Macaca mulatta: one gene and its partners. The protein of the gene in region 1 interacts with the protein of each later gene in a pairwise test. Links are inferred from orthologs where the notes say so. Each region holds a gene or a part of one and is shown in the gene's direction. Other genes may lie near its edges.

The links.
Region 2: the proteins of PSME3 (region 1) and TNFAIP8L1 interact in binary tests that used the Homo sapiens proteins (3 or more experiments, as listed by UniProt). The two-hybrid records come from large-scale screens. The link is inferred for Macaca mulatta from reciprocal best matches to the Homo sapiens genes PSME3 and TNFAIP8L1.
Region 3: the proteins of PSME3 (region 1) and WDR25 interact in binary tests that used the Homo sapiens proteins (3 or more experiments, as listed by UniProt). The two-hybrid records come from large-scale screens. The link is inferred for Macaca mulatta from reciprocal best matches to the Homo sapiens genes PSME3 and WDR25.

The regions. Positions count from the first base shown.
Region 1 is NC_133421.1:67,183,361-67,187,467, forward strand, and holds the start of PSME3 (proteasome activator complex subunit 3), read left to right. Parts: upstream 1-1,304; 5' UTR 1,305-1,539; coding exon 1,540-1,581; exon of another isoform or gene 1,582-2,088; coding exon of another isoform or gene 2,089-2,163; intron 2,164-2,251; coding exon 2,252-2,284; intron 2,285-2,374; exon of another isoform or gene 2,375-2,408; coding exon 2,409-2,471; intron 2,472-2,665; coding exon 2,666-2,770; intron 2,771-4,107. UniProt on the Homo sapiens protein: Subunit of the 11S REG-gamma (also called PA28-gamma) proteasome regulator, a doughnut-shaped homoheptamer which associates with the proteasome. 11S REG-gamma activates the trypsin-like catalytic subunit of the proteasome but inhibits the chymotrypsin-like and postglutamyl-preferring (PGPH) subunits.
Region 2 is NC_133424.1:5,490,205-5,494,272, forward strand, and holds the start of TNFAIP8L1 (tumor necrosis factor alpha-induced protein 8-like protein 1), read left to right. Parts: upstream 1-1,267; 5' UTR 1,268-1,375; intron 1,376-4,068. UniProt on the Homo sapiens protein: Acts as a negative regulator of mTOR activity.
Region 3 is NC_133412.1:173,718,030-173,722,248, forward strand, and holds the start of WDR25 (WD repeat-containing protein 25), read left to right. Parts: upstream 1-1,418; 5' UTR 1,419-1,649; exon of another isoform or gene 1,650-1,964; intron 1,965-3,699; exon of another isoform or gene 3,700-4,219.

The DNA.
Region 1 (4,107 bases):
ACCCTCCTCACCCCCAGCTCACCAGTCTTTGTCTTCAAGACAGTCTCTTTCCTTCCCTAGAGCATTTGCTGCACTTATACGTCTCAAGGCTCTTCTCACTCTTTCCATGCTAACCCCTTTATGTCCTTTAGATCGCAGCTTGTCTCTTGTTCAGAGGCCTTCCTTGGCCATTCGATCTAAAATAGATCTCTGGTATTTTCTATGTCATACACTTGTTTCCTAATATTTATCAAATTTTGCAGTTACTTTGTCAGTTTACTTTCTGGTGTTTTTCCAATATTATGCCCCATGAGACCAGCAACCTTGAATCTTGTTTGCCTTTGATTTCCCAGAGCTGTGCTGTTCAATACAGAAGCCAGCAGCCACATGTGGCTACTGAGCACTGTACTGTAAATGTGTTATTTTCTTATTGAGATGTGCAGTTAAGTGTAAAATATGCACTGGATTTTGAAGACTTGGTATGAGAAAAGAATGCATAAGATCTCGATTTTTTAATGTTGATTACATGTTGAAGGACTTGGATAAATTGGGTTAAATATATGACTAAAATTTTCACTTATTTTACTTTTTAATTGTGGCTAATAGAAGATTTCAACCTACATATGTAACTCACATATTTCTAGAATCTGAGACAGTGCCCTGGCCCATTTTATTGAATGAAATATCCAATGTCGAGAGAGAGATCGAATGAATGGGTGTATGAAGAGGTATAGTCTTAAGCTTCCATTAGGCAAATAGATACAGCACTGCCATAGAAGTTAGGAGATCTGGGTCCTGGCTCAGGATGTACTGGAAACGCCTTGGACAAGTCTTGCCCTACTCTGGGCATCAATTTGCCCATTAGGTAGTTGATCTTTGAGGTCCGGAAGCTTACGACAGTCAGTTGGCAGGGAAATGTACCAGGAAAGCTTGGTACAACCGCACTTGTGTTTTTCGCTCTAGCCTAAACACTTGAGCCTCGGCAAACGGGCAGAGGCAGCGGGAATCAGGGACTACACCCCCGAACCCAGTACCCGGGTCCCCGACTTCCCCGAGCCTACGTCACTGGGGCGCGACGGCGCTGTCCCCGGGACTGCAGCGACTGAGGTCCCTTCGGTGAAGGCGAGTTCCGGGCCAACAGAGAGGGTCGCACCGTTTCCGAGTCTTTCGGAGGCTCAGTTCTCAGCGCACCATTCCCCACAGCTCTCCTTTTTACTTCACCCCTACCCAACACTTTACCCCGGGGAGCATCCAAACCCGAGTCTCATCGCGGCTGCGCAGCGCACGTGCACAGCCTCGCAGGAGTCTCGGCGATTGGCTGTGACGCAGTTTCCGGCGTGAGCGGCGAAAGCCGGGAGGGCGAGCGAGAGAGCGACCAGGCAGCAGGCTGCCGGCGGGCGGGCGGACGGCACGGAGGGAGGGAGCAAGCGAGCAGTGAGTGAGCCAGCGAGGGCGGCCGGGTCCCGAGGTCAGCCGAGATTTCTCAGGTCCCTCCGGCCCCCTCCCTGGAGTCCACAGCGCCTCCGGTGTCCAGCGGATCGGACACGGCCCGGCCCGGCCATGGCCTCGTTGCTGAAGGTGGATCAGGAAGTGAAGCTCAAGGTAGCGGCACCGGTCCGGCCTTTTTGCCCCTCGCTTTGATCCCCCAGCAGTCTGACTGGCTTCCTACTCCCCATGTCGTCTTTGTCTCCCTGGGGATACCAGCTCTGAGCTTCCGCTCAACTCAGCCCAGCCCCCAACTCCCGGGGTCGGCTTCGCGGGAGAGGAAAATATAGGATGGCTTTCTGTACCGCGTCTGATGATGGAGAGTCCCGGGGACACCTCCGCGGACACGTGTTGGACTCAGGGCTTTAGGCCAGTGACAGCTGGAAATCCCCCAGCCCAACAACGTCCCTGGACACTGCCTCTGCCCTTGGTGGCTGGCCTGCCTGGTATCATAGGCCAGGTCTGGGTGGGGGTTGGCACGTTTGTGAGCTCACATCTTTCCTAACTACCTGTCTTTTGTCTGCTTATCAAATTCAGACAGCTTCAGACACAGGAGGGAGGGAGGGGAGAGGAGAGAGGAGACAGGCAGGTGCTGCCCTCAAAGCCCTGCTTTCTTCTCCTGAGATGGAAAAATGGATCCTCAAAAAAATAAAGTATTTGCAGTCTGGGGGCCTCTCAGCTTCTTATTACAGTTACAAGGTGAGGGAAAGACAGTTGGATTTGGGATTCTCTATCCTGCTCTTACCTCTGTCTCCAGGTACTGAATTGCTCTCTTTGTTAATTTTAGGTTGATTCTTTCAGGGAACGCATCACAAGTGAGGTGAGTGAAATAAATAGAAAAATGAGTGTTGGTTGAGAGTTTCCCAAAGAGGAGATATCTGTAGAGAGAGAGAGAGAGACCTTCCCACAGATATTAATTCAGCTATATTTTCCCTCCTCCTTAGGCAGAAGACTTGGTGGCAAATTTTTTCCCAAAGAAGTTGTTAGAACTTGATAGTTTTCTGAAGGTGAGAGACCCTTTTCTTTCCTCAAATTCCCCTATTTTTTTGGCCCTGGTATTACTGTCAACTGGAACTAATTGTGTGTTGATTCTTCTTTTTATTTTTTTAAACTGTAAAAGCGCTTTCATTTCTTGCTCTTCAATCAAATACTTCTTTGTTCAGCTTGAAAAGATTAATGTTTTGGGGTGGGTGTCTTTCAGGAACCAATTTTAAACATCCATGACCTAACTCAGATCCACTCTGACATGAATCTCCCAGTCCCTGACCCCATTCTTCTCACCAATAGCCATGATGGACTGGATGGTGTAAGTGTCCTATATTTATCTTTGTGTTCTTGAGCAGTAGGTCCTCTGTCCTCTGTTTCCTTGTCAGTTTAAGATGTACAGAGGCAACAGTGGGATTTGGATCTGGGAACTAGGACTGTTACAGACATGATGACTCTAGTATAGTTGTTTTATTTCTTATTTATTTATTTATTTTTGAGAAAGGGCGTCACTTTTTTTTGCCCAAGCTGGAGTGTAGTGGCGTGAGCACTGCTCACTGCAGCCTGGACCTCCCAAACTTAAGTGACCCTCCCTCCTCAGCCCGCCAAGTAGCTGATACTACAGGAGTGTGCCACCATGCCCAGCTGATTTTTGTATTTTTTGTAGAGACAGGGTTTCACCATGTTGCCGAGGCTGGTCTCAAACCACTGAGCTCAAGTAATCCACCCGCCTCAGCCTCCCAAAATGCTGGGATTACAGGCGTGAGTCACTGCACGAGGCCTCCGGTATATTCCTTTTAGACCCTGAGTTTCATTTACGATGTGAAGTGAATGTGCTAATGCTACTCTCAGTGTTAGAGTGAGTTTCAAATAAAAGAGAACTAGCTTTGGCCAGGCGCGGTGGCTCACACCTGTAATCCCAGCACTTTGGGAGACTCAGGTGGTTGGATCACGAGGTCAGGAGATGGAGACCATCCTTGCTAACATGGTGAAACCCCATCTCTACTAAAAATACAAAAAATTAGCTGGGCGTGGTTGTGGGCGCCTGTAGTCCCAGCTACTCGGGAGGCTGAGGCAGGAGAGTGGCATGAACCCAGGAGGCGGAGCTTATAGTGAGCCGAGATAATGACACTGCACTCCAGCCTGGGCAACAGAGCGAGACTCTGTCTCAAAAAAAAAAAAAAAAAAGGAGAGAACTAGCTTCATCAGGTTACCTGGTTTTTCCCATGGTTCTGAACAAGACTTAACTTTGTTTCTGTGTCTTGATAAGTGTTATGGGATATGAAGTTCTTGCTGTGTAACTGCAATCGCTGTTTTGCTGTACATCTTTAACAGCTAGTCCTTATCAGTCATGTGTCCGCATGCTACTATAACACTGATGATACTGAATTGTTGTCTGTAGTACCGCCTCATTGACAGAACTTGTACGTCTGGAAGGCAAGAACTACCTTTTTTTTTTTTTTTTTTTTTTTGAGACAGTCTCACTCTGTTTCCTAGGCTGGGGTGCAGTTGCGCGATCTCAGCTTCCTGCAACCTCCCCCTCCCGGTTTCAAGTGATTCTCCCACCTCAGCCTCCATGTAGCTGAGATTACAGATGCGCGCCACCAAGCCCAGCCAATTTTTAAATTTTTAGTGGAGACAGGGTTTCACCATGTTGTC
Region 2 (4,068 bases), on another chromosome or scaffold:
ACTCCTGGGCTGAAGGGATCCTCCTGCGTTGGCCTCCCAAAGTGCTGGGATTCCAGGTGTGAGGCACCACGCCTAGTTGGAACCTGCATTTTTTTTTTTTTTTTTTTGAGACGGTCTCGCTCTGTCGCCCAGGCTGGAGTGCAGTGGCGCGATCTCGGCTCACTGTAAGCTCCGCCTCCCGGGTTCACGCCATTCTTCTGCCTCAGCCTCCTGAGTAGCTGGGACTACAGGCGCCGCCACCACGCCCAGCTAATTTATTTTTATTTTATTTATTTATTTTTTTTTGAGACGGAGTCTGGCTCTGTCGCCCGGGCTGGAGTGCAGTGGCCGGATCTCAGCTCACTGCAAGCTCCGCCCCCCGGGTTTACGCCATTCTCCTGCCTCAGCCTCCCGAGTAGCTGGGACTACAGGCGCCCGCCGCCTCGCCCGGCTAGTTTTTTGTATTTTTTAGTAGAGACGGGGTTTCACCGTGTTCACCAGGATGGTCTCGATCTCCTGACCTAGTGATCCGCCCGTCTCGGCCTCCCAAAGTGCTGGGATTACAGGCTTGAGCCACCGCGCCCGGCCAATTTATTGTATTTTTAGTAGAGACGGGCTTTCACCGTGTTAGCCGGGATGGTCTCGATCTGCTGACCTCGTGATCTGCCCGCCTCGGCCTACCGAAGTGCTGGGATTACAGGCGTGAGCCACCGCGCCCAATGCATTTTTACATTGCCTCTCAGATCTTTCTGACGCGAAAGGTTCCCCGAGGCCGAACTTTGAGAAACATGTTTCTGCCGAAATTCCTATTACCCAGGTGGGTAAACTGAGCCCCAGAAGGAGGAAGGGGCCCGTGCAGAACCACGTGGTTGCTCTGTTTTGCCTTTTGGCTCTCCGGTCTCTTCCTGTTGGTGCCTCTGTGCCTCCCTCCCCAGGTTCTCCGTCTATCTCATACTCTTATCTTTTCCCTTTTCTGTGGCCGGCGCCCCGTCTACGGCCTCGCCCCCGCATCCGGGCCCCTTCGCGATTCCGGAGGAATCCCCCAGACCCGCCTGACCCCGCCCCAGGCTCCGCCCCTTCCCCCACCTCCTCCCGTCGCAGTGCCCTGCTCCCATTGGCCTCTTCGTACATTGCCCCCCTGTCATTGGCTAATCCGAAGCACTCGGCCCGCCCTCCATGCCTGGCAACTCTCCGGTCCCTTCCTGCGGGCGGGGCGAGTGGAGGGCGTGTCCTGCCGAGGGGCGAGGCAAGTGGAGGGCGGGGCCGCGCTGCCGCCCCGCCCCGGCCCCGGCCCCGCTCCGGCGCTGCTCCCACTGCCGCGGCAACGGCCCCAGCCCACGGAGGCGGCTGGACTGACCCCCGACGGTTGGACGCACGGACTCTGCTCCGAGAGCAGGTGAGAGAGAAGTGCCGGGGCGCCCCCTATTTCAGCTCATCCCGGGGACCACCTGGCCGCCCTGTCTCTCCCGCCCGGTAATGCTTCTGCACCCCGCCGCCTGTCCGTCTGCATTCCTGCCTCAGTTTCCCTCTGTCTCTCTGTCCCTCTTGCTGTATAGGTTAGGGAGAGACAGGTTGAGTCTCAATTGCCCCCCTTGGCGTGGGGCTCTGCTTGGGACCAGCACCCCCACCCCTCCGTGGAATCTAGTGGACTCTGCCCCCTTTAACTGCAGGGCCACAGGTGCTCAGGACAGATTCCAGAACCCCGAGGGCATTCCAGGAGGTGGGCAGCTGGGCCAGCCATGCGGAGGTGGGCATGACTGTAGCTTTGACTGTAGCTTCTGGCTAAACCAGGCATCGGTGGCGGGGAGCCAGGCCTAGGCCCGCCCAGGCCCACCCGGACTGGCCCCTAACGAACTCCCAAGTGGCCTGTGGGGCCGTGGCCTCAGTTTTGCCAGCTGTGAACTGGGACCGTCGCTGCCAAGGTAATTGGCAGGTGATCTGAAGGACGTCTGTCGCCTCCTGGCCTTTTCTGTGAAGTCGAACTAGGTCCATTTCCTGGGATGGTAAACTAAGGCCTAGAAAGAGGCCAATGCTTCCAATGTTTGGCCAGGGAGGTGGGGACACAGGAAGGACAGAATCTGTTTTCTCTGCATCCTCACATTTTCCAGCACCTTCTCTATGGTGGGGGGAAGGGCTGGGGGAGGAGCAGCTCTAGGTGTAAACAGGCTACCAGAGGTTCTTTCCTGAGCCAGTCCCAGCTCAGCTGGGGGCGGTGAACGCCTCGGGAGGTCCCAGCGGGGTCAGCCCAGTCGTGGCGGAGCTTGGGCAAATCTAGATTTGAACTCTGCCACCCGCATGGTACCTTGAACCAGTTTTTCAATTCTGCTGAGCCTGTTTCCTCCTCTGTAAAACAGGAGTGGGTCGTAACTCACCGAATTACGACTGCTGGGGGATCAGGTGCAGGAATACAGGCCCTGCTTGTAACCCCCCTGACCCTCGCTGTGGCTCTGCCCCAGTCGCACTGGCCTCCTCCTGTTCCTCCAGCACCCCAGGCGAGGTCCTGCCTCAGGGCCTTTGCATGGGCTATGCCCTCTGCCACCACGGCAGGTCCGAGGGCGCCAACTTTGAAACATAACAAGCTCCCTGTATGGGCCGGCCCAGGACCTGCATAGGCAAGGGCTGGGAGGGGCAGAGGAGGGGCCGTTCAGGGACGCTGTACCTATGGAAACAGTGAACAAAGGGCTGTCTCCAGCCACACAAACACCTGGGTGAATTGGGAACTGGCCAGAGGCTGGAGCAGCCTGGGACACAGGTGGCGGGTGAGTGCTTAGACCCCTGGGGGGACTATGGGCTGGAGGGGACTTGAATCCTGCTCTAATCGTGGGGTACCAGGGGGTCCCTAAAGGAAGCGGCTCTGCAGACAGGTGTAGGTCTGAGGCCCCGCCGTGTGCCCCTCCCTCTGTGTGGCCTTGGGCCAACTGTCAGGTGCCCCCAGAACCTCAGTTTCCTCGTCCCCGTTCCTCCAGGGGTCAGCCCAGGTGGGCGAGGGGTCCTTTGATTGCCTGACAATTCAGTATGGTGGGTTCCAGAGGACTCAGTGTCCCTGTCTGTCCAATGGGGCCACGAAAGTGTGCCTTGAGGACAAAACTCCAGCCATTGACGGGGAAACACTTCTCCCAGAGAGACGTCAGCGCTAAAAAATGACTCACACTTGCCCAGGTACAGCCTCAGGTGTTACAGACGGGGAGGGGCGCGAGGAGGCAGATCGAGAGGGAGGAACCGCCTGGTTCCACAGCCTGCCTGCCCCTTCCCAGCATCCCCCGACACCCCTCAGCAGACAACTTCCCTGGAATCACACCCACCCGAGCTTTGACGCAGGGACCTCTGGCAGAGTTCCTGGGATCTTGTAAATTCCCAGCTTCTAGGCCTCAGTTTCCCCATCTGTCCAATGGGGCTGGTCATCTCCTTTTTCTTGTGGAAAGGGGCTGAGATAACTGGGGGGAGGGAGGGTGCTTTGAGGTGTGGGGGAGATTCAGCAAGACATTGTCAAAGGCCCGAGGAGGGGATTACAGGACACAGTGCTTCTAGAAGCTTCCTAAGGCTTCCATCCTTCCCCTCTGGGGTGAGCTCTGGGAGAGAGGAGACTTGAACCCCAAATGTGCTGTGGACTAGGATGGGGAAAGGATTGCGCTAGGTTAAAGGCTGGGTTCAAATTCTGATTCTGCCACATCACTGCTTTATAAGCTCGTGACCCTCTCTGACTCAGTTTCCCCATAACCAAAACCTTGCAGGTCCATCTAGAGAATTTCCCAGCCTGGGCAACATGGTGAAACCCTGTCTCTACTGAAAACAAAGAAAAAGAAAAAATTAGCCAGGTGTGGTGGCGCGGGCCTGTAGTCCCAGCCACTCTGGAGGCTGAGGTGGGAGGATCACCTGAGCCCAGGGAGGTTGAGGCTGCAGTGAGCCGAGATCACACCACTGCGCTCCAGCCTGGGTGACAGGAGTGAGACCCTGTCTTAAAGAAAAAGAAGAGAATTGGCTGGGCGCCGTGGCTCACGCCTGTAATCCCAGCACGTTGGGAGGCCGAGGCGGGCGGATCACCTGAGGTGAGGAATTCGAGACCAGCCTGGCCAACAGGGCAAAACCCTG
Region 3 (4,219 bases), on another chromosome or scaffold:
CACTTTTTTTTTTTTTTTAAACACTAAAAGAAAGATCGCTTTCCCCTCCAAATAACAAATGAACATTATCTTAAAAGGCAAAGCCATTAATTTATATGAAGCCAGGCACTAGACACTTTGGGGTGTCACAACAAGAATGACAATACGTTCTGATGTTGAGCACAGAAGGGGGCTGCATCAGTGAAAACTATGACAGACAGCATGAGAGTGCTGGGAGGCAAGCTACAAATCCAAGCACGCGACTGCTCAGCCAGGATCTCTATTCCCTATGGGAGCAGTGAATTACCTGAACTTTCGGTCAATGGAAGAAGTAAAATGCATAACACCCTAATCCTAAAGACACAAGTCCTGACCCCCTAAACCAAGGTTTTCAGCACTTTGGTAAAAACACTAACAAGCTCTAAGCCTGGCAAAGATGGCAATACATACCCACGTTGTGGAAGACTCTGCAGAGGTGGCCACTGGTCACGCTGGGCAGTTGAGCAGCTGAGAATGCCCAGCCCAGCCAGAAATGGTCTTTAATACTCTTCCCCTCTTTCTTTCAGTTTCCCTTCTGAAAAAAGAGGCTTTTCCTTTTGTTTACCAGTCCCCACCCTGCATTCAGCTAAGCTTTTCTTATAAATCGCCCTGATTCTCAGAAACACTTGAGCTCTTGACCAACCTTCTTGATGAGACTGTCCAATCAGAGGTGGGCTGCCTGGGACCAGGTTGAGACCAATGAAACCCTCCTGAGAATCGAGCCATTAGCTGGGCATTGCATCAGCCACCCCTCACCCCCCGCTGGCCTCCAAATAACCTCTCCACCCTCTTCCCGTTCCCCACCCTCAGTGTCAGTGTGACTGATTTTGTGGAGTCGTGGGCGTTAGAAAGAGAAACCGTAAATTCCCCGCATTTGTTCACCGAGGCGGCGCAGTGTAGTGGAAAGATCGGGAGTTCTGAGGTCACAGACGCCTGGGTTTCAATCCCAGCTTGGACTTATTCGAAACCTTGGGCAAGGGTCACATTACTTTTCTGCTTCCCTTGGGTTTCCTCATCTGTGAAATGGGCATGGAGAAGCCTGCTAACATTACCATTGAGCGGACTAAGTGCAACACTAGGCAAAGTCTCTGGCACATGGCAAGCGCTAAATAAAAATGGGGGCCTCTCTTCTCGGGAAAAGAGAAGAGGTGGAGATGATGAAGGGTTGATGCCGGTGGGAAAGGGGGACGGGGTGGGTCGGCGGCGCTCACAGGAAAGGAGCAAGGGGTCGGTGGCAGGATCCGCGCCCTTCACGGTGCCAGAACGCGGCGAGCAGCAAGCCGGGCTCTCAGGATACTGCCTGGAGGGCCAGGCCGCTGGGCGCCGCGCGGGCGTCCCTCCATTACTCCCTCCCTTGTTCCCTCACTCCGCCCCGGCCTCACTCCCCTCGCTTACCCGGCCCACCCGGGCCTGTCAGCACTCCCGGCTCAGCCACGGGTTGTCTCCGGGGCGTCCGTGGAAACGCCATCCGGACGGAACAACTTCCGGCCCGACGGCGCCATCATTGGTTGTTCACGCGGGGGCGGGGCAGAGGGCTCCACTGATTGGCTGGCGGCCCCGGGGCCTCGTCGCAACGTGACTGGACAGTGGTGTGCTGGCCGGTCTGCCTCCGGGAGAACCGAGCGCTTCCGGTGCGTGTGGTGAGCGGCGGGCCCCGGGCTGGAGGGGGCCGGGACTGGGCAGCGTCCATAAGCGCCCCGCGCCTCTTAACGCGGTCTCTCATAGCCGCTCGCCTTCCTATCACTTCCTGTTCCTTCAGAAAGCGCTGTGCCTTGGACCAACCTTACTTCTTACTATTGACAGCTCGGCTAACTCCTATTCATCTTTCAAACTCCATCTCTGGTCGTATCTTGTTTGTTGCCTTCATCAGTCTGGGGCCTCCGGGGGATCTGTGTTTTGTGTTTAATTTCCACCCACACAAGACCCAGCATAGGGCTTGACAAAGAGTAGGTAATCAGGAAATGTTTGTTGAATGGCAATATCCTATTTCTTTTACTTCCTCAGCATCTCCCCCTCCCACCTGTTTGCATTCCAGAAATATTTTTGGACGCTGGGCATTGAATAGTGAACAAAACACAGAAAGCCCTGTCCTCATGGGGCTGACATGCTGATAGTGATTGTCAGAGTCACTCGCTTCTTCCTTAGACTCTTCTCCAGTGTCCCTGCCTTCCCTTCCATCTGTCTCAGTTCCTCTTAGTTTAATCCCTCACCACCTTCCAGAGGGAGCACGGGCACTCTGGTGGTGGGAATCTGTGGGATCCTTTTGACAGCAAGGAGTCGGGTGCGTGGTGGGTGGTGCCTGGGCAGAGGAGTTGAGAGTGGCCTGGGGACCAGGTTTAGCATTTGGAGAACAGAAATGCCAAATTATTTGCAGTGCACGGTCCCATTAGTTTATAATTAGTCTTTTATATTAGTTCCATCTGAGATGAGCTGGCTGGCTGGCTTTAGAAGTTTTGTTTTTGTTTTTGTTTTTTTTTTTTTGAGACGAAGTCTTGCTCTGTAGCCCAGGCTGGAGTGCAGTGGCGTGATCTCCACTCACCACAATCTCTGCCTCCCGGGCTCAAGCAATTCCGCGGCCTCAGCCTCCAGAGTAGCTGGGATTAGAGGCATGCGCCACTGTACCCAGCTAATTTATTTTTTATTTTTATTTTTATTTTTAAAAAATTTTTAGTAGAGGTGGGGTTTCACCATGTTAGCCAGGCAGGTCTTGAACTCCTGACCTCAGGTAATCTGCCCGCCTCGGCCTCCCAAAGTGCTAAGATTACAGGCGTGAGCCACTGTGCCCACCCATTTTATTTGAACTCTGGCTTTGTGTGTGGAAGTTGTTACCTGCCTAGAATGGGCTGTGAACAGGGGCGGCATTACTAGAGGAGACTGACTACAGACATTTATGGAATGATGACCTGACTTGTAGACCAGTGGAACCCTCAGGCGAATGGTGCCATTTGGGGGAAAGGTGTGGAAGGGGTTGGGTGGTTGATTCCAGGGGACATTGAAACCCATTGTCTAGCAGAAGAGATGGGTAATAGGCTGTCTGGAATGACTTAGCAAAGGACTTGGAGGGAATCTGTTTAATATGATCTGACTCCACCTGTTGGGAGATGGAGGCGGACCTTGGCCTGTTTGATTAAGTTTGGGTGCACTGGATTTTCTTGGAAGTTAGTCTATTGCCTGAGCATTCTGTGCTGTTCCACCGCGCCCTCTGCTGTCCTGGGTGTGCCCAGCACCCTTCTTTTTCTCTGGATTGTACTTGGTGCTAACAGCATAGAAGTAAAACATTGATCCAGACCAAAGCACTTCTTTCTGGGAACTAATTGATAACAATGTATTGTGCATGAAGGTTCAGAATTTCAGAAAGAATTTTTTTTTGAGACTAAGTTTCACTCTTGTCGCCTAGGCTGAGGTGCAATGGCCCGATCTCGGCTCACTGCAACGAGGGAGTGAGGAGGCTCAACATGCCTCCTGGATTTAAGTGATTCTCCTGCCTCTGCTTCCTGAGTAGCTGGGATTACAGGCGTGTGCCACCATGCGCGGCTAATTTTTGTATTTTAGTAGAGACAGGGTTTCACCATGTTGGCCAGGCTGGTCTTGAACTTGACCTCAGGTGATCTGCCCACGTCGGCCTCCCAAAGTGCTGCGATTACAGGCGTGAACCACTATGCCCTGCCCAGAAAAGATTTTTTTTTTTTTTTTTAAACAAGTAGAAATTCACTGCAGCGTGAATCTGTGTTGGGAGTGAAACGGGTGAATTTGGATCATGCCCTCAGAATTGCTCCCTGCACACTTGGGTGGACCAACACCTTAGGCCTCCAGCTGGCTGCTACAGAGATGGGATATCTGGGGGAAGAATGTTTCAGGCAGAGAGAAAAGAGGGAAGGGCTGGAGCACAGGGAAAGGATGCAGAGGAGCGTGGCAGGCCTTTCTCACCATGGATCCTGGACATCTTTTGATTTCCGTATTTTCAGACCTAACCTTGTTCATGATGATGAGCATATGTTCTCACTGGTTGCTAATAAGCAGTGCAGCAGGCTTTCTTTATACATTTATCTTCATGGATTTATACATCTAGCAAACATATGCTAGTATTTGTGTAGGATAGAGTTCTACAGTGGGGTTGGTGAGGTGAAAATGATGTGTTTAAACTTGTAACACATATGACCAAAATGGACCTTCCAAAGGCATTTTTAAAGTCCTGTCCCTT